Ovis aries: one gene and its partners. The protein of the gene in region 2 interacts with the protein of the main gene of each other region in a pairwise test. Links are inferred from orthologs where the notes say so. Each region holds a gene or a part of one and is shown on either strand. Other genes may lie near its edges.

What was found.
Region 1: the proteins of FHL2 (region 2) and SAXO1 interact in binary tests that used the Homo sapiens proteins (3 or more experiments, as listed by UniProt). The two-hybrid records come from large-scale screens. The link is inferred for Ovis aries from reciprocal best matches to the Homo sapiens genes FHL2 and SAXO1.
Region 3: the proteins of FHL2 (region 2) and GLYR1 interact in binary tests that used the Homo sapiens proteins (3 or more experiments, as listed by UniProt). The two-hybrid records come from large-scale screens. The link is inferred for Ovis aries from reciprocal best matches to the Homo sapiens genes FHL2 and GLYR1.
Region 4: the proteins of FHL2 (region 2) and KIAA1217 interact in binary tests that used the Homo sapiens proteins (3 or more experiments, as listed by UniProt). The two-hybrid records come from large-scale screens. The link is inferred for Ovis aries from reciprocal best matches to the Homo sapiens genes FHL2 and KIAA1217.

What each region holds. Positions count from the first base shown.
Region 1 is NC_056055.1:87,516,547-87,523,685, forward strand, and holds the end of SAXO1 (stabilizer of axonemal microtubules 1), read right to left. Parts: intron 3,771-7,139; coding exon 2,770-3,770; 3' UTR 2,598-2,769; downstream 1-2,597. UniProt on the Homo sapiens protein: May play a role in the regulation of cilium length. Stabilizes microtubules at low temperature.
Region 2 is NC_056056.1:97,214,085-97,221,106, forward strand, and holds part of FHL2 (four and a half LIM domains protein 2), read left to right. Parts: intron 1-4,158; coding exon 4,159-4,333; intron 4,334-7,022. UniProt on the Homo sapiens protein: May function as a molecular transmitter linking various signaling pathways to transcriptional regulation. Negatively regulates the transcriptional repressor E4F1 and may function in cell growth.
Region 3 is NC_056077.1:4,456,114-4,463,135, forward strand, and holds part of GLYR1 (cytokine-like nuclear factor N-PAC), read right to left. Parts: intron 5,676-7,022; coding exon 5,565-5,675; intron 4,880-5,564; coding exon 4,778-4,879; intron 4,083-4,777; coding exon 3,920-4,082; intron 3,604-3,919; coding exon 3,424-3,603; intron 2,815-3,423; coding exon 2,516-2,814; 3' UTR 1-2,515. UniProt on the Homo sapiens protein: Cytokine-like nuclear factor with chromatin gene reader activity involved in chromatin modification and regulation of gene expression. Acts as a nucleosome-destabilizing factor that is recruited to genes during transcriptional activation.
Region 4 is NC_056066.1:24,437,121-24,444,844, reverse strand, and holds the start of KIAA1217 (sickle tail protein homolog), read right to left. Parts: upstream 5,047-7,724; 5' UTR 4,990-5,046; coding exon 4,920-4,989; intron 1-4,919. UniProt on the Homo sapiens protein: Required for normal development of intervertebral disks.

The DNA of each region.
Region 1 (7,139 bases), on a different chromosome or scaffold from region 2:
CTCAGAGAAAGGGCTTAGAGGAAGTTTCTCACCCCAAGGGGACTCAGCGCTCCTAAAAGAGTCAGATCTATCAATCTTTCTTCAGTTTCTTCCCTTCCTACTCATCAGAAAAGCTTATTAGTTTTGACATCACCATCCACTCTCATATAACTATATTAAGAAGGGGGAGAGAAGGAAGGGGTGTAAAAGAATTAAAATACCCAATCTACCAAAACAGACTAGGTCTAAAATCAATGAGTCAACGGACACCAGTATAACACACACACTCACTCTCACTCTCTCTCTCTCATTCTCTCTCACTCACTCTCTCTATCTCTCTCTCTCTATCTCTATCTCTCATACAGGGGCTTCCCTGGCGGCTCAGAAGGTGAAGAATCCACCTGCAATGCAGAAGACTCAGGTTTGATCCCTGGGTTGGGAAGATCCCCTGGAAAAGGGAATGGCTACCCTCTCCAGTATTCTTTCCTGGAGAATTCCATGGACAGAGGAGTCTGGCAGGCTACAGTCCACGGGGTCTCAAAGAGACACGACTGAGCAATTTTCACTTTCATACTAATATATTAGTATATATACTATGGACTTCCCTGGTGGCTCAATGGTAAAGAATATGTCTGCCAAGAAGGAGATGTAAGTTCAGTTCCTAGGTTGGGAAGATCCTCTAGAGGATGAAATGGAAATTCACTCCAGTATTTTTGTCTGGGAAATCCCACAGACATAAGAGCCTGGCGGGTTACAGCCCATGGGGTCACAAGAGAGTTGGACACAACTTAGCAACTAAAACAACATTATTAAGGAATTTGAGGCAAAATATTAGCAGAAACAGATCCAATTATTTACAGTTGTTCCCTGGGGAAGTTATAATAGAGACTAAGGGGTGGCTGCTTTAGAGTGCTGCCGTTTTATAAGCATTTTAATACCATTTAGTTTTTCAAATCAAGTGCCAATATTCCTTTGATCTGTGAAAAATGATGAAACAAAAATAATAAAACCTACCCTCCTAAGTGGCCTCCTTTAGCTTAATGGCCTCCAGAAAGGAGTTCAGACAGAGACAGTACAATTTGATGTGGTTGGTGGAGCCATGAGATCTGAGTCACTGCAGATGGGAGGTGCCTGGTGTTGAGTCAAGAGCCCTGGATCTTGAAACAGAAGACCTGGGTTCCAGTCTTGGCCTTGGTGCTCCAAGCTCTGTGGCCTTAGGCAAGGTGCATCGTTTCTCCGAGCTTCTTTATCCCATAAGGGCAGTCATCCACACCTGATACAGCCAAGAGGATTAAATGCCATAAATCCCAATCCAGTGACGCAAACTAACCTCACGGTAAGAAGACAGTGAGTGGGGACCTGAAAATCTGGGCCAGGGAGGCGACAGCCATGGAAAGACAGACTTGAATAAGAGATGCAGGCTTCTTGACCATGAACCAGGCAGTGAACTGAAATTTCCTCTCCCCTCCATGCTGTTCCCCAGTTCTCTGATACCATGGAGTATATTTTAGGATTCTACAGACTCAAAAGAGAGGCAGATAACCCAAGCGTCAATCTGCATCCCCCTGGGTGAGGCTCACACAGACCTTGAACCCATCTGATCCTTGCCTGGGCCATCTTGAACAAAGTCCCTCCTTGATTCTTCCTAATTTAAAAAAAAAATTTCTCCAAATTACTTAACTCTAGGATCAAACCTTAGGCCCCAAAAAGGAACCTCCAACCCTTTCTCCATTATCACTATGTCACACTTTGTGAGAGGCCTGGTCATAGCTGTCATTTTAGGACAAGCGGGTCCAGGCTTCCCAGGAATCAGCCCAATGTGCGGCCATTTTTTCCAGGTTCTGAGCATTTAGAAGAGCTCATAGCTTAAGGGCCAGCTGCCAACTGCCTGGTTGCCAAGGGCTCCCTTTCTCCCGGCCGCCACCCCCGCTTCCCGGACTCAGAGCCTGCACTGGTTTGGGAATGAGAGAGGTCTGGCAGTCCACGCTTTCCAGGCTCTGCCATAGAACCTTGTCCTTTCCCGCCATCTGTCTCTCTTTTGAGTCTGTAGAACCCTAAAATATACTCCATGGTAGCAGAGAACTGGGGAACAGCGTGCAGCGGAGAGGAAACTTCAGTTGAGTGCCCGGTTCATGGGCAAGACTCACGACAAGACTCATACCCCATCAGACAACACTGCTGTTACTGGTATGTCATGATGTAAAGAGGTAGAAAGATGCCCTGTGAAGCAGCCCTGGGCAGAGAGGCCCCAAAACAAGACTCCAGATCAGGCCTGAGGCACCCCTACCAGGATGAGGAGGCAACAAGAGACTTAGGCTCAAATATCCCCAGAGGTCGCAAGAAACACGGCCTGCTCTCTGCGTAGACAGCACATGGCGTGAACACACAGACCTGCAGATTCAAACCCCCCAAAATGAAGTTTATTCTTTGGCACTTCATACTTGGCAAGGGATGATCATAATGTCAATGTATACAATGATTAAACTAGTAAAATACATCTGGATGGGAAGGAAACCTCAGAGACCAGCTTTGATTCCATGAGCACAGGGTAAAGGGGCCAAGATGGGGAGACAGCAGAGGGAGGGTTAGGGGACTGATTAGCCAGTGATTAAATGTCATTTTTCTTGAGTCAAGTGATTCTTGTTTTATTCAAGTGTCCAGGAAACAACGATGAAATTTTTTTTTCAGTTTTGGGGAATTCTTTTTTTTTTTTCTCTTTTGGTCCAATGAATAGCTCAACCATATGATTTTATAAGTATTGTGCAATTCCTAAATTACAGCCTTTAAAAATCAGGCTGACACTGTCAACTCCTGCTGGTTGGGATTTTCTGAATCACCTACAGAAAAACGGCTGCTCCGCCGAGAGCCTGTCTGAGAAACGGGCCGGTATATTCTGTGCCCCAAAGCATCTATTTCCTCAAAGATGTAGCCAGGAGGCTCAGGGTATGAAGCCAGGCACCTACTCATTTCCTTAGGAGTAAAGCTGATGGTGTATGTGGTCTGGCCCTCCACAGGGATATTTCCTCGGGGCCCAGACCAGACGGGCTTGCAGCTTTTGGTCATCATGGGCAGGTGGGGCACATAGTGGGTTCGTGTGGTGGTCAGGCAGTCCAAGGGCTCAGTGGGAAGGTTCAGCTGGGGGATGGGCTTGATTGGCTCTGTCCGCGTGCTGGCCCACTGCTTGTAGTCCTCTTTGGTCGTGGTGGAGCCTTCAAAGCGGCCACCCTTCTTGACCGAGAGCACAGGTCGGCAGGACTCAGCTGGGGCACCCTTAGGGTACGTGTAGTGGGCTTGCACAGTTGTCAAAAGGTCCATCTTCTCTTCAGGAGGGACATACATGGCAGGAGGTTTGGAGAACACCTGGGGCGTTGGCCAGGCTTGGTACTTATCTCTAAACTCAGTGGTGTTAGAAAATGGCGTGTCGAGCCCACAAGGCCTGGCAGGTTTCAAGCTCTTGGCTGGCTCCCCCATCAGACCCCGGTATGACTCTTTGTGGGTGGTGAGGCTTTCAAAGGGGATTTCACAGGGTCTGAACTTCTCTGGCTCATGCACAAAGCGCTTCTCCAAGGGGTGGGGCACGTAGCTCATCTTGTAGTTTGTCAGATCCTCCAGGGGGATGTTACAGAGCTTGGGCACAGCTGGAGGCTTACAGCTCCTGGTGTTCACCAGGCCCTTCATGGAGTAGTCGTCCTGCTGTGTGGTGCGACTATCAAACTTGGTTGATGCTGGCCGGTAGTGGTGAGGTGGACGAAGCAGCTCTCGTCTTGGTTGGTTCCAGGGTAAATAGTCAGCTGAAAATAAAGCAGAGGCGGTGATTATTCATAAATCCCATCACTCAACCTGCATGTATTCCCAGAAGCCACAAGCCAGTCTTCAGGGAGATGTTTCAGGAGACAGAGGAAAACCAGACTAGATCCCTGCCACCACCTCAACCAAGGGTTTAATGTTTCAGCTTTGTGGTATTTGCAGATTATTGTGCAGCAGAAGGCTTCCCAAGTGGTGCTAGTGGTAAAGAACCCGCCTGCCAATGCAAAAGATGTAAGAGATGCAGTTTCGCTCCCTGGGTCAGGAAGGTCTCCTGGAGGAGGGCATGGCAGCCCACTCCACTATTCTTGCCTGGAGAATCCCCATGGACAGAGGAGCCTGGTGGGCTACAGTCCATGGGATCACAAAGAGTCAGACACGACTGAAGTGACTTAGCACGCACACACATGCAGAAGAGACTAATTTATAGGAGTCTCATCACACCCACAGTGCTGCATGTGGGGACTGTAGAGGGTCCAGGGCCATGAGTGGACCCATGGAATGGACTCCAACAGAGAAGTCCAACTGCTGGTTTTCCCTTATCCAAGAACAGTTCCATTCCTCTAAGGGAAGGTGCCCTTGTGAATCAGCAAAGAGTGACTGAGCCACCAGCCAGACTTGCTAGGCCTCCTGGTCATCCATGGGGCGATTGCCATCATGTTGCTATCATCACACATACACTCCACATACATCAAATATGGCACTCCAGGGGAATAAGGGGCACTGCGCTGGCTAACCAATTCTGAATCCACAGGGAATTCTCTTGCCTACAACTTTACAAAGAGAACAAAAGTAGTCTTTGAGGTATATAGCCAATACCAGTGGAGTCCACAGGCACACTTTTTTTAAACAGCTTTCTTGAGGTATAATTCGTATAAATGTAAATGTGCCATTTATATTTATAGAAATATAAAATGCACCATCTTACGCACATAATAATTTCTACTGAGTTGTGCAACAATTTATAATCAAAATCTAGTTACGCTGAATCCCTTGCTGTACCACATAAATTAACAAAACATCGTAAATCAACTATACTTTAATAAAAAGAATTTTTTTTAATCTAGTTATAGAACATTTCCATCACCACCCTAAAAATCTAATCAAGCCAATTTGCTATCTTCATTCTCATCCCTGGGCAATAATTAATCATTTCTTGGTCACTCTAAATGTGGCTTTTCTGGACATTTTCTATGAATGGAATTGCACAATATATAGTGTTTTGTATTGGCTTCCTCCACTAAGCATAACGTAAAGGAAGTCCATCCCTGTCGTAGCATGCACCAGTTGACTCCCTTTTATTGTTGACTAGTATTAGAGTAAATTTTGTTTATCCATTCTTCATTTGATGGGCATTTGGATTGTTGTCATCATTTCGTTATTATGAAAATTTCTGCTAGGAACATTTATAGACAAGTGTGTGTGAGGCTACATCTTTTCATTTTCCTTAGGTAGATACCAAGAAGCAAAATTGCTAAGCTATATGTTTAATTTATGTGTAACTTTTCCACATACCGCAAACTTTTCCAAAGTGGTGCGTGCCACTTCACATTCCCACCAAGCAATGTATGAAAGTTCTCATTTCTGCACATCAACACTTGTTATCATGATTTGTTTTTTAATTATAGGCATTCTATAGTGGGTGTGTAGTGGCATCTCATTGTATTTTAATTTACATTGCCCTAATGATTAAAATTTTTGAGTATCTGTGTATGTGCTTGTTTTTGACTGTATAGAGCTTCTCCATCTTTTCCTGCAGAGAATATAACCAATCTGATTTTGGTGTTGACCACCTGGTGATGTCCATGTGTAGAGTCTTCTCTTGTGTTGTTGGAAGAGGGTGTTTGCTATGACCAGTGCATTTTCTTGGCAAAACTCTATTAGTCTTTGCCCTGCTTCATTCCACATTTCAAGGCCAAATTTGCCTGTTACTCCAGGTGTTTCTCGACTCCCTACTTTTGCTTTCCAGTCCCCTATAATGAAAAGGACATCTTTTTTGGGTGTTCTAAAAGGTCTTGTAGGTCTTCATAGAACCATTCAACTTCAGATTCTTCAGCATTACTGGTTGGGGCATAGACTTGGATTACTGTGATACTGAATGGTTTGCCTTGGAAATGAACAGAGATCATTCTGTCGTTTTTGAGATTGCATCCAAGTACCACATTTCAGACTCGTCTGTTGACCATGATGGCTACTCCATTTCTTCTGAGGGATTCCTGCCCACAGTAGTAGATATAATGGTCATCTGAGTTAAATTCAAGCATTCCAGTCGGTTTTAGTTCGCTGATTCCTAGAATGTCAACATTCACTCTTGCCATCTCCTGTTTGACCACTTCCAGTTTGCCTTGATTCATGAACCTGACGTGCCAGGTTCCTATGCAGTATTGCTCTTTACAGCATGGGACATCACCAGATGGTCAACACCGAAATCAGATTGATTATATTCTCTGCAGCAAAAGATGGAAAAGCTCTATACAGTCAACAAAAACAAGACCAGGAGCTGACTGTGGCTCAGATCATGAACTCCTCATTACCAAATTCAGACTGAAATTGAAGAAAGCAGGGAAAACCGCTAGACCATTTATGTATGACCTAAATCAAATCCTTTATGATTATACAGTGGAAGTGAGAAATAGATTTAAGGGCCTAGATCTGATAGATAGAGTGCCTGATGAACTATGGAATGAGGTTCGTAACATTGTACAGGAGACAGGGATCAAGACCATCCCCATGGAAAAGAAATGCAAAAAGGCAAAATGGCTGTCTGGGGAAGCCTTACAAATAGCTGTGAAAAGAAGAGAGGCGAAAAGCAAAGGAGGAAAGGAAAGATATAAGCATCTGAATGCAGAGTTCCAAAGAATAGCAAGAACAGATAAGAAAGCCTTCTTCAGTGATCAATGCAAAGAAATAGAGGAAAACAACAGAATGGGAAAGACTAGAGATCTCTTCAGGAAAATTAGAGATACTAAGGGAACATTTCATGCAAAGATGGGCTCGATAAAGGACAGAAATGGTATGGACCTAACAGAAGCAGAAGATATTAAGAAGAGACGGCAAGAATACACAGAAGAACTGTACAAAAAAGAGCTTCACGACCCGGATAATCACAATGGTGTGATCACTCATCTAGAGCCAGACATCCTGGAATGTGAAGTCAAGTGGGCCTTAGAAAGCATCACTACAAACAAAGCTAGTGGAGGTGATGGAATTCCAGTTGAGCTATTTCAAATCCTGAAAGATGATGATGCTGTGAAAGTGCTGCACTCAATATGCCAGCAAATTTGGAAAACTCAGCAGTGGCCACAAGACTGGAAAAGGTCAGTTTTCATTCTAATCCCAAAGAAAGGCAATGCCAA
Region 2 (7,022 bases):
TGGAGATTTGGGGCTGGTCATCCTTGGCTAGGAGCTAAAGTGAAAACAAAACTCAAGTCACTGATCGTTTCTTCAGCATGATTTAGTGGACAGGCCCTTGAAACTACTTATCCTTCCGCACATGCTTTATGAGTAAATAAACAAAAATCCCCCCAAAGCGGCCAAAATCAACAAGACTGCTGCAGAGTCAAGACTGCTGTTCAGGCAATCATGCTGAACTTTTCACCCCAGATACCAGTCCACTGTGGAGTCTCAGCATGGGATTCTGTGCATTTGGGAAGGAAACAAAGAAGTGAACTTGTAGTTAGACCTCAGCATGTGGGGTTTTGAATACTTGGAACCGTTTTCTTGGCTTTCGGAAATAATTACAAAAGTTTGCTTTGTGGAGAAAGTGAGGTCAGGAGAAACGTGCCTGTCTTTCAGGAAGCGAACCCCGGGCCTGGCAACAGGGTAAGTGGCAGGGTCTCTGCCAGAGTCTTTCTTCAAGGATTTGAAGGACCATACGGATGGGAAGCACAGAACATCTTTGCAAAGTGCTGCGCCGAGTGGCGTGGCGCACCCCCCGACATGGCGGGGTCCTGTGGGTCTGAGGACTGGGTGGCTCAGGAATCAGCAGCTGAGCTTCCCCCAGCCTGGGAAAGACAGACAGGGGGCAGAGGACGGCGAGGGACCCCGCTGCCCTGGGCCGCCCCCATTAACTGGGGGGTGCAGGGTCCCTCCGGGCCCCTGACTCCACCCACGGCTCAGCCGAGACCTCAACAAGGGCAGAGCAAAGCCACAAGCCCTTCCCACATTAGGAGTGTCTCTGAAATGGAAAATCAGAAAGGAAGTGTTTGCGCCTAATCTCACATCGTTTACCAAACATTTTACAGCAATTTATGACTTTCTGTGTGCACAAGACTACCTTGCTAGTTTTTCTGGGATGTGTTGAAGATTTTTTTTTTTCCTTTCTTTTTCGCCCCTTCATGTGCTCTCTCTCTAGAGAACCTTAAAACAGGGGCATTTTCTAGGATGTTTCAAAGTTCTTGAAAGTTAGTCAGCGAGCCCCTACTTCTTAGCCTTGAACCTCTGTGGTGTCTCTGGGGACCACCCGGTAGGCTCGGCACACAACAGAATTCAGCGAGACAAGACTAGCTCGGTACTACAAGACTGAAACTCCGTTTGGAGAAGGGAATGCCAGCGGTGAGAAGAGTCACTCAGAGCCCAGTTTACATACACACGTTTAGAGCAGGCGTCAGCCTGATTCAGGCACCAGGTCAGATCACCTAAGCAGACCAGATGCCTCGGCCTTTCTGTGCCAACTTCCAGTCCAGCCCCACAAGCTTCGAGCTAGCAAAGCCAGTGGCCTTTTCCCACCTTGGCGCCCATGCAGTGTGGACTTTTCCACAGAAGGGAGTCCCAGAGGAGGTGGGGGCGTGAAGTATCAACCTGACTCAGACTGACACGTAAGGACGGCACGAGAGAAGGAGGACTCCCAGGAGAGCTGACAGCACGGCCTCAGATGGGGCTTCACAAGCGCCCGAGCAAGCTGCAGGGTGTGGCTCTTCCAGGTGTGCCCATGGGGGTGGTACCCAGGCCCGCAGGGCCAGCATCACTCGTGGCCACACAGGCATCACCGAGCAACTGGTGTCCTAGCCGGGCCTCATAGCCAAGGGGGATGGGGGCCTTCAGAGGCCAGGACAGCGCAAGCCAGGGTATGGGCAAGGGAGAGGGGAGCATAGCAGAGAGGAGGCTGGGGCAGAAGGTGAGTCTGGGTGAACATGCTGGGGCCTGCTTGTAAAGATGCTGCCGGGCCAGGTAAAGGTCTATGCCCTGCCAGATGCAGACCAGGAAGAGGGATGCAGCGGACTGGGTTCACAGCATCTTAGCGTCATTCTGTTAAACTTGCTCACCTATAAAATAGGAATAAAACCTTATTCCATGGCGTCATTGTGTGGTTCAAAACAAGAGGGGATTAAGGGAATTTAAGAGTTAGAAGGGCCGTGGAGGCTGAAAGCGCTGTACAGGTAGAGTGATTGAGCCCAGGAGCCTGGAGCTCTTAGAGGAGGGCATGGAATCCATCTTGGTCTCATGAGTAAGTGACGCTTCGGGGCACCTGATGTCACCATGAGCTGGGACCGAAGACCAATGTTAGCTGAGCAGTTACAATGTGCCAGGACTGTGGTCGATTCTTCACCATCATCTCTGCTTCCCCGGTGGCATCTGAGGCTGGAAGGGGTCAGGTTGCTGTCACCACCATGCAGCAGGTGTGTGGCAGAGCCAGGACTCAAGTCTGGAGCCTTCAGGTTTAATCGCTGGGGTGAAATACACCAGGCATTTTAGACACATGCTCCCAGGGTCCCCAGGGGCTCGAGTGGCGTGGCAGGTGTGCAGGGCAGTGGCTTGAGGTTCCCCACCTGCCTGCACGCCAGGTTTCCTCGGCCTGGGGTGGCCGCCGCCGCCGACGGCACATGGAACAGGGGTGGGTGAGCTGTCGTCCTGCCTCAGCCCACCCCCTCCCCGCCCCACTGATGGTGATGCCAGCTTGTTCAGAGAGAGTTGTGACTCACCATGGCTCCTGAGAGTGTGGGTGTAGATTGGTATTTATCTTCAAGAAAAACGTTTTTGTCAGAAGGTTGAAGAATTATCAAATGTCTTTGAATGAACAGTTCAGGGCTGTTGTATGTTAATGCGGAAACACGTGTGTGCGCGTGCGTGTGTGCGTGTGCAAGAGACAGCAGACAGGGAGCAGCTGTGCAGGGGGTGAGGATGCCACAGGGAAGGGATGGCCGGTGACTCAGCTCGGCAGGAATCTCGGCAGGATGGTGACCAGCCCCCTGGAGTGGGTGTGGGATGGGGGTGGCGCTGAGGGTTCTAGGCAGCTGCTGTCACCAGCCTGGAGGGCCATGCCATAGCCAGGGTGTGATCAGTCCCTCCCTTGAATGCAGGATGTGGGACTCGGGACAGCGAGCGACCAAATGACCAACAGTCTCAGGAGGGTGGAGGCCAGGAGCTGGACCTCCCTCAAGAGGATCTAATCAGGACGGGGTGTACTATCAGATTTAGAGAACTTTCTAGTGTCAAGGGGGCTTTCTTAGTGGCTCAGTTGGTAGAGAATCTGCCTGCAATACAGGAGACCCAGGTTTGATCCCTGGGGTCAGGAAGATTCCCTGGAAAAGGGAATGACAACCCACTCCAGTATTCTTGCCTGGGAAATCCCATGGACAGAGGAGCCTGGTGGGCTGCAGTCCATGGTGGTGCAAAGAGTCAGCTTAGCACACGCACGCAGTGTGTGTCAGAATTTCTTTCATTTTTGAGGCTGTGAATAACGGTCCACGTTTGTCCATCACTGTCTGTCCACTCTGTGATGGACACTTCAGTGACTTCCACCATTTGGCTTCTATGAATCTGGATCCACAGATTCCCACTTTCAATTCTTGGGACATCTACCCAGAAGTGGGATTGCTGGTCATGGGGTAATTCTCTGTTCACTTTTTTGAGGAACTGCCTGCCTTACTGTTTTCCATACCAAAAAGAAAAAAATTGTTAAATGCATTTATTCCATAATCAGCATTACAACAGTGATCACGTGATCCAAACCCCAACGCATCTTTAATTAGGCTGATTACTGTCCTCAGTGGACAGGACTTTATTCAAACCCTCAACAAAGACAGAGCTGAACGGCACTCACCTGGGTACATTCATCTGGCCTTCTGGTCCAGCCTGGTGGGAACTCTCCCAGCCGGCGCCCCTCAGGCTGGCCCTCCTGGTCTCTGCCCTTTTTCTGCCCAGCTCACACATCCTCTGGTCTTTGATGTTCAGCTGGTAGCACTTCCTGGAAGTGTTCTACTCGCCTTCTCCAGGTTGACCCAGGGGCCCCACCCCAGGCTCTGTCTCTGAGGTTCCCTCAGCCCATCCTCCCTCCCCTGGGAATCACAACCACCGCCTCAGACATGGTTGGGTTTGTCCCGTGTGCTTGTGGCCAGTGGACCCCCAAGGTCTGTGTGTCCAGCAGAAGCAGCTTCTCTTTCTTACAGAGAGTTCCCAGGGAAAAGCACCTGTTTTTCAGAAGCTTCTAAAGAGTGGCTCCGTACCCCACCCGACCCGTCCCAGCCCCTCGAGCTCCACCTCCCTGCCTGGCCCCTCTCACCTCTCTGCCTCTCTGCCCCGGGTCTGCAGGACTTGTCCTACAAGGACCGGCACTGGCACGAGGCCTGTTTCCGTTGCTCACGGTGCCGGGGCTCCCTCGTGGACAAGCCGTTCGCTGCCAAGGAGGACCAGCTGCTCTGCACTGACTGCTACTCGCAGGAGTACTCGTCGCGATGCCAGGAGTGCAAGAAGGGCATCATGCCAGGTGGGTGCTGTGATCCCGCCTTTCGCACATGCGCGAAGTCCCCAAGCCCTAACCCCCCAGTCCCTCCCCAGGCCCCCCTCCACCCCGCACACTCGTGCTGGACCTGGAGCTGGGTGCTGCACCCCGTGCGGGTGACATCCTGGCCGACTTGACCGCAGCTGGGCCTAGTGGCCAGTGATGAATGACCTGTCTGTTGATGGGGGCGGATGGGACTGTATCCCTTGCTTTTGGTTGGGGGAGGGGAGGAGGAATCTTTGCTTTATGGGAGAGGAATCTTCTTTTAAAGAATAGAATGGACAAAAATGCTATGTGAAATTTTTCAACACAGTATTTAAAACATGATCTTGTTAAGACACACAAAACAAGAGCAAGAAGAACCTAAGATCTGGACCCTGGATAGTTCATCGGCCACAGAGGGTCAGTGATGTCCTCTGCATGACCAGTAAGGGAACTGGACAGTAACCTTGCCAGACTTAGCGCATAAAACACAGGACTCCCAGGTAAACTGGGATTTCAGCCGATCCCACCTGAGACCTCGTTAACCTGGCTTCTCTGCCAGAGAGCCATATAAAATCAAGAGAGGGCTCCGTCCTATGACTGTCTTCTGGGGTGTGGCCCCCAAACCAGGCTCAGGGTGGTGGGAGCAGGACACAGGTCTAGGTCCCCAGCTCTTGGGAAGCTGGATGCTGCTGCCTGGGGAACCCTCAAATTGCTCAAGAAAGTATCTGTCCTCAAGATGGCTTCTTAGAGGATGTGCTTCCTTCAGTCCTGAGAAGCTTTAGAATTAAGGGCACACTTATTAAGACAATCCAACCCAGAGCAGTAATATTGTGTTAAATAATCTGATAATGCATGAGTGAAGTTTAGAAAAAAAATTGGTCTCAAGAGTAAATTAATTCTTTTATTCTAACTAAAAGTGTGCCATTGAGTGATTTAGGTTTGTGGTTTTATACGGGGATTTTCTTAATCCGTAAATGTTTTTGACACTTAAGATACCTTAGTTTTTGAGGCTGTGAATAACAGTCCACGTTTGTCCATCATTATCTGTCCACTGTATATATTTAGCTCACTTCATCGACAATTACTTAAGAACTTGAGGTCCAGTTTGCCAAGGTCCTCCTTGGCATCGAAGTAGAAGGAATATCAAATACATTAAATTTTGTTGTTCATTCGCTGAGTCCTGTCTGACTCTTTGCAGCCCCATGGACTGCAGCACGCCAGGCCTCTCTGTCCTTCACCATCTCCCGGAGTTTGCTCAGACTCATGTCCATTAACTCGGTGATGACATCCAACCATTTCATCCTCTATCGCCCCCTTCTCCACTTGCCTGCAATCTTTTCCAGCATCGGGATCTTTAAATTCTAAGTGTCCTTTTAAAGGACTTTACTACATTGGTGAATGGAACCAAACATAAAGTCATGCCCCTTAAAAGTGATTTTTAAAATGTGCTGTATCCATGAACACACTGATAAGATGCGCAGGATGAAGTTCAATGAGGGGTTTTGAATTTTCAATTTCAGTAGAATGAATGTCAGCTTGTAGAAACCTAGGTGCCCTGCAGAGTCATGCTAGTCCACACAGCAGCTGGGGTTGCGCCGACACACACAGAGAACTTAGGCAGCAGGGATCATTTAGAGTCAGACTCCTGACTGCAAGGAGACGGACCCAGGGATGCCCAGCCGCCGGGCACTGAGCCAGGGCCATGCATGTGGGGAAAGACACAGTTTTCCAGGGCAGTGGTCCAGACTGGGGAGAAAAATGATCACTGCTGTTTTGACAAAGACGAATATACCTTAGAGTAAGAGGTGAATTTTTCCTAAAATTCCTGGGGCCACCAAGACGATTCTGGATTCTGGCAGGCTGGTCTCTGAGGACTGCTGCCCCTCCCCCCGCCCCGCTTTCTCCCCAGGGACATCCATCTCACCATCTCAGCTGTTGGGGTTTTTAGGAGAAGCTTGGCTGGTGTCTACTGTGATGGAGGCACTAAGTCAGAGCAGGGCAGCCAGCAAAGGGGCCCTTGGGGACGTGACCTTTGAGCAGTCTCAAGGTCGACCTGATTTCAGCGGATGGAGTAGTCAGTAGAGGGCACATCTGGCAGAGGAAATGGACCAGGCATCAGAGGTGGTGTGCCCAAAAAGGCCTGCAAAAATAAAACAAGTACTAGACACTTAAAAAACCAAACAGAAAAAACCCACAAAACTAGATCAGAGCGCTAGCTTCCTTCCTTGGTTTGATTTTCAAAAGTGCTACAACCAAATCAAGATGAGAGCAATGCAGACTGGCAGCGCGGCTTCTGCAGGCGTCCCCACTCAGCACCCACAGCTGTGAGTCACCAACCCGAGGTATGAGGCTCCCTCCCGAGCCCACGCAGGGATGCTGAGCCCTGGCTCAAGGCCTCCAGGTAGCCTCACGCTGTTGCCAGGCCTTCACCGGTTTTCAGCTTCCTCACTTGCTCCTTTGAATCAGAAAGACACCCCTTCCTCCAGGAGGTGGACTCGGTCCCCTGGCTCATCTGCAGGTTCTTAGGAGGAGCTTTGCCGCCCCCTGCTGGTGACTCTGCACAAGGCCCACAAGGTCTGCACCAGGTCTGAGGGTACCCAACTTGGGTGGGACCTGGGACCTAGGACTGGACATCTCCCTGAGCTCCGGGGTGGACAGAAGGCTCATTCTGAACATGCAGAAGGCATGT
Region 3 (7,022 bases), on a different chromosome or scaffold from region 2:
TGACCTTGGACTAAGTACCTCAGTTTCTCTGTGCCTCCAGCACTGCTTCTTGATTTCATGGGGAGGCTAACAGGGTTACGGCGAAGGTTAAATGGACTGAGGGATGTAAAGTGCTCGGAGGCAGGGCTCAACACTGGTTAGTAGTTACAATCACATCCCTTCCATCTGAAGATGCTCCGAGGCTGCGGCCCCGTCCTGCCCCATCAGCTCCAGGGCCTTCCCCGTCATCCATCTGAAGTGCCAGCTGTGCCACTTGACCCGGCCACCTCCATCCCTTTACTCTGCTCCATTTTATTCACAATTCTAACCTCCTGCAGTTCTTCCTTGTCGAAACATTTATGTGCTTACCTGGTGCCTCCTTCCATTAGAACGTAATCTCTACAAGGAAGAGAAGGGGCTGTCCTATGTCCCCAGAGCCTAGGACGGTCCCTGGCAATTAACAGCCACTCTAAAGGCACCAGGTGAATATGAAAGAGTGTGAGAAAACTTAGAAAAACCATTGTTCAATAAGGGCAGGGCAATGTCCAGGCATGTTGAAAAATGCAGCTGGACATAGGTGTATTTTTTTTCTATTTTTAAACATAGTTCAGTTGGAGTCATCATGATTGATGTCCATTACACCTTGGGTATAGCTGTGAACTCAGAACAAAGGCTAAATAAAGGCCTTTTTCAGATAAAAGAGAACTAATTGTTGACAGCAGACCTGCGTTCAGGAAATGCTAAAGCAAGTTCTCCCAGCTGAACGAGAAACAATACCAAAGAGAAATTCAATTCTTCAGAAAGGAAAGGAAAGGAAAGGAAATGGTAGAGAAACAGAAACTTATCTTTTCTCTGAATATCTTTAGAATTCATACGACTACTAAAGCGAGACACTCCAACAATGGTGAGCTTAAAAATCAAAGCAAACATAACATATAGGACATGTGTACAGTAAAGCAAGGGTTCTCAACCTGGGGTCCTTTTGCTCCCCATCTGGAGCGACATTTGGTGATGTCTGGAGACATCTCCTATCAACCAAGGGGGTGCAATCACATCGAGTGGGTAGAGGACAGGGAGGCTACAATACACTGGACAGCTCCCATAGCAAGTGCCAGTGGTGCCCAGGCCAAGGAACAATGCTCCCAAGGATGAGAGGAAGGCAGTGGTAAATGGATACACATTTTACGACAGGGCCAATCTAGGACGTGAAGTTAAGATGCATACAGTAATCCCGAGAGAAAAGACAAAAATAAAGATGATGCACTTTGAACCAAAATGTCTGTTTCCAAGTCCATGAATCCTGTAGAGTCAGGGAGGGGCAAGTGGAAATCACCTCGCAGAGAAGTGCTCCCAACATAAGATACCACAGAACCCTTCAGAAGTAACCAGTTACAGACAAACTTATCAGCGAAAAACTATACAACAGCCAGGAACTTCACTGCCAAGAGAGAACCTGAAGGTACGACAAGAGGAATCAGAAACTGTACTGCAGCCTGGAAGAGTGAAGAAGTACTCAGATGTTCAGACAGACAAGGAAGAGAGAGAGACGCAGAATTCAAGGACAGAAGATCATCGACCATGGAAAGGCAGGTTTGAAGAGAGCGGCACTGCGTTTTTTCACTGATTTTTGGCTGCACTGCTCAGCTGGCCCCACCAGTGGGAGCAGAGAGCCCTGACCACTAGACCCTCAGGGAGCCCCCCAGTACTGTGTATCTGTATTTCTTTGCCTCTACAGGAAAAGCCACTAGAGACCTCTATTTAACTTGGATAAAAATGCATGCGGCTTACAGCGCTTGGAAGAGAGAACTTCTAAAATGAATCCACATGATGTATATATGTATGTGTCTCACAACATGTGGTTCTCACTGCAATTCAAAGATGAATACTGCTCAGCTGTTTTTCTGAAAGATTATACTTCTGTTAGATTGAAATAAAAGATAGAACGCATGGAAACTGTAAACCTGAGAAGGCCATAGTGGCCATATGAAAGTCTGACGACAGACTTCAAGACAAAGATCAACAGGGACACTTCTTAATAACAAGAGGGCAAATTCATCAGGAAGACAGTATAATCATAAATGGCTAAGGCCCACTAACAAAAACTTCCGAAGATACTAAGCGAAATGGACAAAATTAAAGGGGAAACAGATAATCCCACAATAACAGCTGGAGATTTTAACATCCCTTTCTCGGCAATTAAAAGAACTGGAGAAAAAGGTCAGTAATGATGATCTGAAAAAACACTACCAACTATCTCGACCTAACTGATAGATGCCGAACACAGCACCCACTGCAGAACACACAGTCTTCTTAAGTGAATATGAATGTGGTACACCCACCAAGACCGACCGTCTGCTGGGCCACAAAACAGGTCCGAATTGATGCAAAGAGGTAAAAGCCACACGGAGTGTATTTTTTGACCACAAAGATACATTAGAAATCAATAACCATTCGATATCTAGGAAATCCTTTAGGATTTTTACTCATATTTGACACACTTTTAAGTAACCCACAGGTCAACGAATTCCCAGCAAAGTCAGCATGGACTGGAGGAGACATACAACTTCAGAAAAGGAAAGCCTAAAATTAACAACCTAAGACTCCCCCTGGAGAGGTCAGACATGGCCAAGCCAAGGCAAAGTCGGCAGAAGGGGCAGTGCAAGGGAACAAGGGAAGTCTGCAGGCCCCACCCACAGCCTCCTGCAGTTACCTCATTGGCTGCAGCAGCCATGGGGGTCGGATGGTTGACGGCATCACCTAGCGCAATGGCTAAGCGGAGATCCTTCTGAATGTATTTCAGGTAGAAATCGGGCTTAAAGTTTCCTTGCAGGATATCTGAGGAGGGAAAGGCATTCACCAGAAGAATTAAAAGGATCCTAAATAAAAAAGCATCTGGAGCACTGTCAGGGCTCAACACCTAGCATTTCCTACTCCTCAGACACCCAAGAGACAAGTTCCCAGACTGCACCCCCAAATCCTATGGGGCTTCCCTCAGAGCTCAGCTGGTAAAGAATCTGCCTGCAGTGCAGGAGACCCCAGTTCAATTCCTGGGTCAGGAAGATCCACTGGAGAAAGGATCTGGAGGCTCCCCACTCCAGTATTCTTGGGCTTCCCTTGTGGCTCAACTGGTAAAGAATTCACCTGCAATGAGGAGACCTGGGTTCAATCCCTGGGTTGGGAAGATCCCCTGGAGAAAGGAAAGGCAACCCACCCCAGTATTCTGGCCTGGAGAATTCCTCATGGACTGTATAGCTCATGAGGTCGCAAAGAGTCAGACACGACTGAGCGACTTTCACTTCACTTTGCCTGGGGGCCAGACTGGAGAGGATGTGTCATTCACACAGAAGGAGCTCCCAAAGACACTGTTCTGTGATGGCTGCTTGACCCAGCTTCCCAGCTAGAACCCAAACTAAAACACAACAAGAGTGGTCAAAGGCAACTTACTTTGGCACTTCTGGTCCAGGAAGATGCTGGCCAACTGTCCCTGATTGAGGATGTCCAAGAGTGTCTGCTGGGACTGGCCTGTCACTTGGGCCAGGGTGAGCCCCTCTGCAATGGTGGCCATGAAGCTCCCCTGGACCATGTTCACAATCAGCATCATCTTAGCTGCGTTGCCAACCTCACCTGCCCAGGGCAAAGAACTGCAGTCACATCCCAGGAATCCCACGGGGAGGGATTTCTGCCCACCCTCAACCCTGCCTGGACCCACCTCTACACCCAGGGGAGGCCCCATTCACCTGCCCCTGACAGAACTGGTTCTGACCCTTCTGGCTCTTCCTCCTTGCAGGCACTGACTGTGCAAGTCAAAGAAACCTTCCCACGGGGGCCCCAGGCAGAGAGGCCGTGCGGGACTGACGCTGTCCTCAGGGTGGTCTAGAGGGGTTGTGGCCCACCCAGCCTCCAGGCCTGCAGTGGCCTGACGGGTGGGCAGGCATGTTACCTAGAAAGAAGGAGGTCTTCCCCATTGCCTGGAAGCAGCTGCTGCAGTCCTCATACAAGCCCCTGTCTCCGGCCGCTAAGATCACCAACATCCCATCATTAGACAGCTGCTGATTCCCTGAGACCGGGGCTTCCAGAAAGCGGCCCCCCCTGGACACAATCACCTGGAAAGGAAAGTCACAGCTTCTGGAGGCTGTGCCTCTCAAGAGGGTCTTGGGCAGGAAGTAAAGAGCACGCAGGGACTGGAGCACTAGGCCCTCCACACTGAGCCCCAAAGCAGACGCATGTACCAAGGTACTGGGCTGATGCTGGGGGAGGGCCAGCAGACTGTCCTCCACCAGATGCCTGAATCCCATGAAGGAGACAGCGAGGAGCTGGGGGTCCTCAGAGGCTCCCATTACAAAGATATCATCAACATGATCACACTACGGCTTGGCCGACCACACTTTCTAGGACAGACACTGCCCTTCTTTGATTTCAGCCACTCTTTGAACACACATGGGCCACTAGTCACCATCTTCTCACCGTGGCCTAGAGGCTCAGGGTGGGGGAATATTCTGCTAGTACTAACTGCAGAAAGCTGTTTAAACCACAAAGACCCTGCTGGCAGCTTGGACTGCTTCCAACTGAAAGGCTAGTGGCTACGGGACCTGATGCCTCTCCCAGCTAAGAAGCACTTCTGTTTCAGCCATGCAGACCAGCTGTAGACTTGAAGGCAGAGAGTGAAAACAGGCTAGAATCCCACAGTCTCTGCTGTGGCTCTGGAGTAACTATGTGACCCACACTGGGGTATGGTAAGCCTGGGTCTTGGGCTCCAACTGAAAGGACGCTGGAGGGCCAGCCTGAACAAGGCTGCTACCTGGGCCAGCTCGGTGACTGTGTCAGCGTCCACTGTCGACATGTCCACGTAGCACTTCCCGGGGCGGATCCCCTGAAGCACGCCACTGGGGCCCAGCACCAGCTGTGGGGACACAAGGGAGGAGCAATAGCCCAGGCTCCCAGCCAGACACCCAGGAGACCCTCAGACCTAAGGTCAAGACTTGCTGATTTTTTTTGGCTCATTTCCCAAACAGAAGCTAATTATTAAAGCTCAAAAGGGAAGAGCATGTAAATAAGCAAGGGAAAGAGAAGAATTTATGTTATGTTCCCATTTACCTTCAGAAAGAATATATATGTATTTCTCTTCATTAAAAGCCTCCCATTGAAAAGATTAAAGGCCAGTATTTATTTTTTAGCTTTTTTGGATTTACCTGGATTAGTTTAGTCACGAGTTCGACAAGATAACTACTGCACTTGAACTTTTAAAGCATACAAATACAGTGATAGCTAAATATAGGAACTTGGCACATGGACCAAAGCCACACTCAGCCTCAAAGCTTCCAGCTCACCAGGAACACATGAGCTTGTCAGGAACCATTTCAGCACAGACCTCAGGGACCCCAGTCAGTTTCATTCTTTGTTCTGAATTAAAGGAAGTCTTGTGTTCAGTCTATGCAAACACCCTTCACAATGGGAGACGGCCCCCAAATGGGACACCCAACCCCCCACATGCAGACACTCACTCGGTGTGCAGGGGACAAAGGGAGGAGGCCAGCCAGCGTTCCTGGCCACAACCTGAGACGCTGAGGGGAGGGAGGGATCCTTACGTCCTTGGCTGCCTTTGGGTCCGACACGCAGGCAAAGGTGATGTCACAAGTTGAAACGACTTCAGCGGGGGTTCTTCCTAGGCGGGCCCCCTCCTGGATGAACAAATCACACTGCAAAAGTCACAGATCCTAATGTGAGCTGCAAGGCAGTGCACAACACATACACTAGCCAGGCCAGAGATGCAGCACCCAGTGCTCCTGCGTGGCCTCCCAAGGCAGGCAACCTGACTGCTCAAGGGGAAGTGGACGGGAGCCCCTTAAGGACAATCTTGTATCTCTGCAAACTTGGTGCCGAGGATGCATGTTCCACATTCTGCTCCACAGGAAGCATAAAACAAGTGTCTGCTGGAGGCTTCCTGAACCAAGAACGGGACGTGAACAGTACTTGTCCGCAGCTCTCTGTGGCTGTCTTGGCTGTGGCAAAATCTGCCCAGTGCTGTGTGAGCCAGGGAAGCAGGGCTGGGGCCAACAGGCTGCCACTTCCTACTGAATTGCTTCTGGTGGGATGTGGGGGAGCAAAAAGCACTAACTCTTTCTTTTTTAAAAAATAAAATCACCTGAAATATCTCATAAAATATATCATTAACATTTTGGTCTACTTCCTTGTTCTATGGGCATTAAAAAAAGTACTTAGAATAAGTTGGACCTATGATTTTGTATCTTATTTGCCTCACTGAGAAACATATCTGAATTTACCTAATGGCTCTCCTGGCCCAATTATAAATACAAATTATTACATGTATTTGACCCCAACAAATACATGTAAGGGACTTCCCAGGTGGTTCAGTGGTAAAGAATCCACCTGCCTATGCAGGAGATGCAGGTTCGATCCCTGGGTCTGGAAGATTCCCTGGAGAAGGAAGTGGCAACCCACTCCAGAACTCTTGCCTGGAAAATTCCATGGATGGAGGAGCCTAGTGGGCTCTAGTCCATAGTTCTGCAAAAGACTAGGGCATGACTTAATGACTAAAACAACAAGTAGGGTAAAACTTCTTCTTGTAGGTCAAGAAGCAAGTTAGAACCGGACATGGAACAACAGCCTGGTTCCAAACTGGGAAAGGAGTACGTCAAGGGTGTGTATCGTCAACTAGCTTATTTAACTTCCATGCAGAGTACATCATGCAAAATGCCGGGCAGGATGAAGCACAATCTGGAATCAAGATTGCTGGGAGATGTATCAATAACCTCAGATATGCAAATGATACCACCCTTATGGCAGAAAGCGAAAAGGAACTGAAGAGCCTCTTGATGAAAGTGAAAGAGGAGAGTGAAAAAGTTGGCTTGAAACTCAACATTCAAAAAACTAAGATCATGGCATCTGGTCCCATCTCTTCATGTCAAATAGATGAGGAAACAATGGAAACAGTGACAGACTTTATTTTCTTGGGCTCCAGAATCACTGCAGATGGTGAGAAAAGCTATGACCAACCTAGACAGCATATTAAAAAGCAGAGACAT
Region 4 (7,724 bases), on a different chromosome or scaffold from region 2:
TCATAACTAGACATCCTTTGGACGACTTGGGTCCCAGGGTCACCTGGAGGTAAACCACCGGGATCCACTTGTCCAGGAATGTCCACATTCCATTGTTCAAAGCAAAAATTAACCTTGATTATGCTAAACCACAGACATTACAGCAGTCAGGTCATCTGACTCCTATGTATCACATATTCTGTTGGGACGCACAGAGTTCCTCCATTTTTTCCAGCTCCCTTGTTAATATCATAAAGATCACCACCAGAGACACACTGGCACAAAAATTAACAGCTGAAACCAGGCCATTATGTAGATTCCTCTAAAAAATCTTACAAAAGTAAATGAAAAAGGTTTTTGCTAGAGATTTTACACAAAATAGGAACAGCCCCTCCCCTATCCAGATAAGCATTCTTGTCTCAATGGCTCGTTTGCTGATTGACTGATTTATTTTTTGCAAATATTTATTGAGTGCCTGCTCTGTACACTGAAAGGAGTTAGGAAGCGGAGTGAAGTGGTGATCAAAGCAGACTTAATTCCCTTCCCTCCCTCATAGGGGAGGCACATTATAACTAAGGATGCAGACAACAAACAGATAATATGTAACATGAATGTCATAGCTATGGTTTTTCCAGTGGTCATGTATGAATGTGAGAGTTGGACTATAAAGAAAGCTGAGCACCGAAGAATCGATACTTTTGAACTGTGGTGTTGGAGAAGACTCTTGACAGTCCCCTGGACTGCAAGGAGATACAACCAGTCCATCCTAAAGGAGATCAGTCCTGAATATTCATTGGAAGGACTGATGCTGAAGCTGAAACTCCAATACTCTGGCCATCTGTTGTGAAGAACTGACTCATTGGAAAAGACCCTGATTCTGGGACAGATTAAAGGCAGGAGGAGAAGGGAACAACAGGATGAGATGGATGGCATCACCGACTCAATGGACATGAGTTTTAGAAGCTCTGGGAGTTGGTGATGGACAGGGAAGCCTGGCGTGCTGCAGTCCATGGGGTTGCAGAGTCAGACACAACTGAGAGACTGAACTGAACTGAGTGAAAAGTGCTTTAAGGTTAAAACAGGATAAGGGACAGAAACTGATATGCAATTTTAGAGGATGCTTTGGAGCAAAGACCAGAATGTCTGGGGACCCCTGGGGACCTCTCCATTTACCACCTCCCCTGCCAGGGCTATACTCTGCAAGGCTGCCAATATGATTTTTTTTCCAACTTCACTGAGATATAACTGACATGTAATCTTATCTGATTTTAAGGTGTACAATATATTGATTTGATAGTTACATACCATGAAATGATTACTACCACAGTGAATACTAGTATCTTAAGACCCCAGTGAATCAGGGGTGGTAGAGGCAAGCAGGTGGCTGACACAGCTGCACAGGGGTTTCAAGACACTGGGGCCAGAGTGAAAGCAGTCGCCTCAGGGCTGCTATGGGCAGGCATGGGCATCCTAAGGACCACTCTGGGGAGCCCAAAAGAAGCAGAATATTGGACTTCCCTGGTGCTCCAGTGGTTAGGACGCAGTGCTGCCTCTGCTGGGGGCAGAGGTCCCATCCTTGGCTGGGAAACTAAGATCTCACATGGCACACAGCCAAAAAAATAAAAGCATGATATAGTTAGACTCAAATTCAACCACTAATTACTAAGCACCTCTCTGCACTTCACACTGTTTAGTACCCAGCAGCTGACGCTTCAGCCCCAGGAGCATCATCGATAACAATTATTCTCAAGGTAACCATATGCCCAGTTGCCAAAACAGTTCTGGGTTACAACTGTTGTCCCATTGAAATTATTTATAGCGGTCCCTTTCACTCTCAAAACTGTCTTGGTTTGAACAAGTTACAGGATCACCCAGCGGATCCTTATCTATCTGTAGATTGATAAACTCAAAGCCCTAGGGTGGTATAATTAGCTTTTTGTTCAGCACATATTTATTGATCGCTGTCTCATGCCTGGTGCTCTGTTAAGTTCTGGGGATGTGAAGACAAAGAAGTCACGGTCTTTGCCCTCGAATACCACACTCTCACCGGTATTATTACAATGCCAAATACGATCAAGCCCACAAGGAATCATGGGTGATGAAGCCATCAGAGGCTGGCCTCCTTTGCATGGTCCTCTTGCGTATCGAAGAACTGGAGAAGAGGCCACACTCTTTCACAGCATCATTTTCACCCAGGATGCAATGGGGATCTTAGAAATCTAACCTGAATTCTTAGCCCTCTTTCACGTGCTCCCCAGCCACCTTTCTAGCCTCCTTCTGCACACAGACTCAATCCTGGACCATTTCTAACAATCCTGGGTCCCCTCTTCTAAATTCCAGCTACAAACATCCAAATTGCAATCAACATCTCCACTTGGATGCCTGATAAGCTTCCAGATCCTACCATAGCCAAAAGATTTTCTGCTCTCCACTTCCAAGCCACAAACACCCTCTCCGCTACTCCTCTCCAATACTTTCCCCTTCAGGTAAATGACAACTTCCCAGAAGCACAGGCCAAAGTTTCTGAAGTCATCTCTGACTCCGCTGTCTCTCTTATATCCTGTATCCAATCCCTTGGCAAATTCAGTTTCATCCTCAATACATATCTAAAGTCTGTCTTCTTACGACCACCTGTTCTACTCCCCTACCTGCTGATCCAAGCTAGTGACTGGTTTACTTTGAAAGCTTCCTAACTGAGCTCTCTGCTCTGCCCCCAACCCCACTCGGGTGATTCTCAGTAGAGCACCCAGGACTACCTCTGAAGAAACCTCTCAGACCCACCAGCAGCTCCCACCTCCCTTGAAATAAAAGCCGACGTCCTTACTCTACTATCAGAGGCCCTACCCGACAGGGCCTAGAATTCTCTCTTAACCTCTTTTCTATCTATCCTTTCCCCATGTTGTTCTTTGAAGATGCCCTTTTTCTTCTCTCCCTCACTTCTTTCTGATGTCCCTTCAAGTATCACAGCAGTGCTGAGTCGCTCAGTTGTGTCCGACTCTTTGAGACCCCATGGACTGTGGCCCGCCAGGCTCCTCTGTCCATGGGGATTCTCCAGGCAAGAACCCCAGAGTGGGTTGCCACTACCTCCTCCAACATAGTAGTGAGGCCATCTCTAATAACCCTACTACAGTTTCACCCCTGACCACCCCCATACTCAATATTTTCTTTCTCTGCCTTATTTTCCCCCACAGTTTAATAAACTTACTAGATAAAATATAAGATGCCCAGTTAAATTTGAATTTCAGATAAACAACGAATAATTTTTAGCATAAGTGTATCCCAAATATTGCATGGGATACACTTATACTAAAAAAAAAGTTTATTTTTTACCTGAAATTCAAATTTAAATGAGCCTTTTATTTTTGTTTGACAAATACGGCAACCCCACCATATAACATGCTATTTTACATTTATTGTTTTTGTCCTCCACTCCCCTTCCCCCAAACTTGGCCCTTAGAATATAAAGCAAGGGCTTTTCATCTATTTTGTTCACTGCTGGATCCCCAGAAGCTAAAACAGTGACTCCCACAGAACAGAGGCTTGATATTTAGTGAATAAATGAAATAAAGTGATCACATTGCATCAGTCTCACCATCTCAGTCTCTGAAGTGTCTCTGAACTGCTGTGGTTGTTTGTAAATTGTTTTCTTAAATCAGTTCCACTCTCTTGTTGCGCCTGCAGATTCCGAGTATTTCGTAATGCAGCAGAAGCCCAGAGGTTGAATTCCTGCTGCAGGACCCTGTCTATCAAAGAGGGCAGGGGAGGGGGCCCCACTGCCCGGGGGCCCCCAAGGAGAGTGTGGTGCTTTGACAGCACAAACACAGCCAGCAAGCGGAGGACTCTGAGTCTGGGATTCTCCAGGGTTCACTGGTCTTAAAGTTTCCTGCTTTTCACCGGGGGGAATTTCTATCTCTTCTAATTGTATTTTCTTCTGTCTGGCTTAGTTTTGCATTTTCAGTGTGGATGAGTCATGTGTGACTTCCCTTTTGCCTTTTAAAAAACACACACCTTTTCCCCTGTGCATTGTTGTTACTCCCACGCACAGCACTGCAGCCCCGCAAGCAGGGCTATTAACTGGCCCCTGGATGAACCTGGGCTAAAGTGGGGGCAGGGAGGGTTCTGGACTGCGCCGGGTCCAAACCCGCCGCCTTCGCGATAGTGCATGCAAGGTAGGCTCCGGAGTCACAGACGTCAGACACTGGACGGCCCAGCCGAGGAGCCCTTTCCCCACCCAACCACACTGCATAATTTCTTTGGAACGACATAAGCTTCTGGAAGTTCCCTACGGAAAAGACAAGTCTATTATAAACACAATCAAAGAGAAACTGCTCAGAGAAAATCTATCAGAACTGTCTTAACAGCTCCCAACTTTTGAATTCAAGCATACAGAAAATTCGCACAGCTCCATCTCTCCTCTACATGGACAAGTGCTCCCCTGCTGTTCCGATCCGGAAAAAAAAAGAAAAAGGAAAAAAAAAAGAAAACTCTGCGATTTAACTCTCAAATACGACCAAACTTGCCTCCGACGTGCCTGTGCCTCGTGGAATCCCCCCAACCAATGAATGGAAGTGTTGCCGTCCCGAGAGACCTTTCCAGAAAGAGCTGCTCTCTCCCGCGGCTGGAGCAGGGAGTATGGAAAGCTGCTTTGGGGATGTATTTGCCACTGCCTGGAGATCTAGCAAGTATTGACGGCTTACAGGGCTACCAGTGTAACACCACCCCGCCACTTCTTTGGCAGCTTAAGAAAATCCTGCCAGAGATTTAAAAAAAAAAAAAAAAGTCCAGCCTACAGCTCTCCACTGAGTTGGGAAAACGCACCACCCCAAGAAATACGCCTTTTCTGTGCCAGGCGCTCGGTCTGCAGTTATAAAAAGCAGCAGCCAGCCGCGAGGCACACGCGGAACCGTAACTCCATCTTTGAATGAGAGCCTCTTACTTACCCGGCATCTGTCTGCTGTCTGCTGAGTAAGGAAGGCATGGCTCACATTTCTGGCTTTCGTTTTCTTCCATTGTCCCTGCCTCCGGCCCAGGCTCCTCTCTGGTCTTTAAACTTCAGGGCGCCGTTCTGAAAAAACGCTTCCAGAAAGCGCCTGGAAGGGGGCCCGGGGGGTGGGGAGGAGGGGACGGTGCGAAACCCCACCCCAAACTACTCTCCACTCCCGTGCAAAGTCTCTCTCGCCGGGGAAGACTGCATTCCAGCGCCCGGCCTCCCGCGTCCCTCCGCGCGCGCGCGTCCCCTGGTCCGTCCGTCTGTCCGCCCGCCGGGTCCCTGAGGAATGCGGGCTGGGCCCCCCGCCCGCCCCCGCGCCGCGCGCTTCCCCGAGGCCCCAACAGGTGATGCGCTGTCCTGCCCTGGACCCACGCGGGCCCCCCGAGGCAAACTGCGGCGACTCCGCAGCCGGGGAAGGAAAACATGGCCCAGGATCGCCGGCGGGAGCCTTTGCTGGAAGCCGGTTCTCCGTCTCTTTCATCTCACAGAATCAGCCTCCCCAATAGGCTGATATCCTGAAAAAAGGAACAGCCGACTGCGGAACGTCCCAAATTTCAGTGAAATCCCTTTTATAAAGGGCAACGAGGACAGGTTATATGCTGAAGGTTCTTACACACTTTCTTCACCAAGCGTTTAGAGCTTGATTAACAGACAGATACAGCTGACTTTGCACACAATCAATTTCAGTCTCTTCAGCTGGACTTTGCGAAGTTTGCACTCCTTTGCCTACACTTTCTCAACAGTTCCTCCTCCCCAACATACATAAACACACTCACATGTTGATCAAAATCTGAAAAGTAAACTAGTAAAATCCACCTTCTGAATCTCTCCAGTTCATTAAAATATCAGAAAGGCACTTCAAATACTTTTCTTTGGATGGGCAGAGTTGCATCCAGCATACTCATTTTCCCTTGAAACTACCTACAAACATTTATTTTGTTCTTTACAGGGTCCTTGAAACACTGGCCGATTTCCCAGAAAGTGAAAAGAGGAGGCACAGCGTCCACAAAAATTAAAAAAAAATTAAAAAAAAAAAAAACAAGGTACATAATCTGTGCAATGTACATGCTGCTATTTCAGATATAGGCAAATCACACACTGCCTAGAAAGAGGGTGATCTTTTAATCTGTAGGAGCCCCATCGTTTGGTGGGGGGAAGGAGGATGGTTAGCCTGCTGACGATAACTCAACCCAGTTTACATACCATTCAGACAAGGTTTTACATTAATTTAGATGAAGATTGTGTGCAGAACAATGACTGGCCTACCCTCCAGATTCTGACCTTGAGTCACCTGTGTACTTTGGCAGTGTGGGGGACATATTTTGGCCATTTCAGAGAAAAAAGATTTGGAAGCCTATGAAGGACAAGGTCATCATGCCAGGAAGTCACATCAGGTCATCGTGCAAGGTCATCACATCAGGAAGGGAAGAAGAGACCCCCTCAACTCCTAAAAGGATTTTTCTTGAAACCCGAGAAGATGTGGTGGATCTTCCAGAAAGTTAAAGCCAAGCCCAGTAGCACTGAAGGCAGGCAGTTGGGTTGACTGGGGCAGATATCTCAAGGACCTCGTGACTTTGCAACAGGCTGACCTGGTAATCTTGCTTTAAGGAGGAACTAATCACACACACTTTCTGTCCTGGTGGCCTACAGCAAAGGCCGGATGAATCTCCTTTTAACCTGGTCATTTCCTTGGGTTCAGAGTGCTCATGAAGCAGGGATCTGAGTTCAGGCCTCCAGGTCCAGATCTGGGTCCTTGTCTAGCCGTTGAGTATTTGTCTTCAAGTTATTAATGCCAGAAAGGATGGGGGCGGGGTAGAAGGAGAGAGCACCACAGGGCAGCTCTAGATGTCAGCCTAAACCAGATGCCCCTGGGCTTGCGGCTGTGACACCAACCCACCTTGATTTGGTGTGTGGAGAGCCTGTTCCTGGCAGTTTCTGCCTGTCTCTTGACACAGTACAGAGGCAAAAACCCCAGGATGAAGGAGACAGCAAGGCACCTACAATGGCAGTCTGTCCTCAACAATCTGTAGCGCCTAGTCCTCCCAGGGCTCTTCCAGACTACCCCAATCCAGGCAGAAAAGATGCACCTTTAGATGCAGATTCTGCTTGCCTGGGGCTGTTTGGAAAGCCTAAAAGCAGATAAACGCTCTTGTTGATTTCAGATAAACCAGATGGGGGCTCTCCCACCCATCTTGCACTCGGCTTAGTTCCCAGGCAGCCCAAGGAACCCCCTCGGGGAACTATGTGTCCCAGCCCCAGCCGCTGGAACCCTCCCCTCCCCCACAAGCAAAGCTGACTCTGGCCTCTGCAGACAGTCCTTGAAGCAAGATTCTTCAGGGAGTGCACAAAAGAAAAAGGCATTTAGCAATGAAGACACTTAACATAAATCATTAAGAACCATGAAATCTATATATATATTTACGGTAAAACACTTTCTCTTGAGTAGCCAAACTTTCTGATCGTACTATGGGGAAAAGCTGCTATCGTACTAGTACCGGCCCTTTGTTCCTCCTCCTTGAGAACACGAACTGAAAACAGTTGGAGAGGCTCTGTATTAATGCCACGGCACTCTTCTCTACATTGCTCCCCAAAGCACAAAGCCCTTGCTAAGAACTTTTTGCTGATTGTCAGTTTCTCTGAGTGGGGTCTCTGGCAAACAGTAACCCTTTTCTGCAATCTCCATTAGCTTAGTAGTTCAGATTTTCATGAAACATACTATTATTGTCATTGCTATTACTGTGGGATGTTCTTTCTG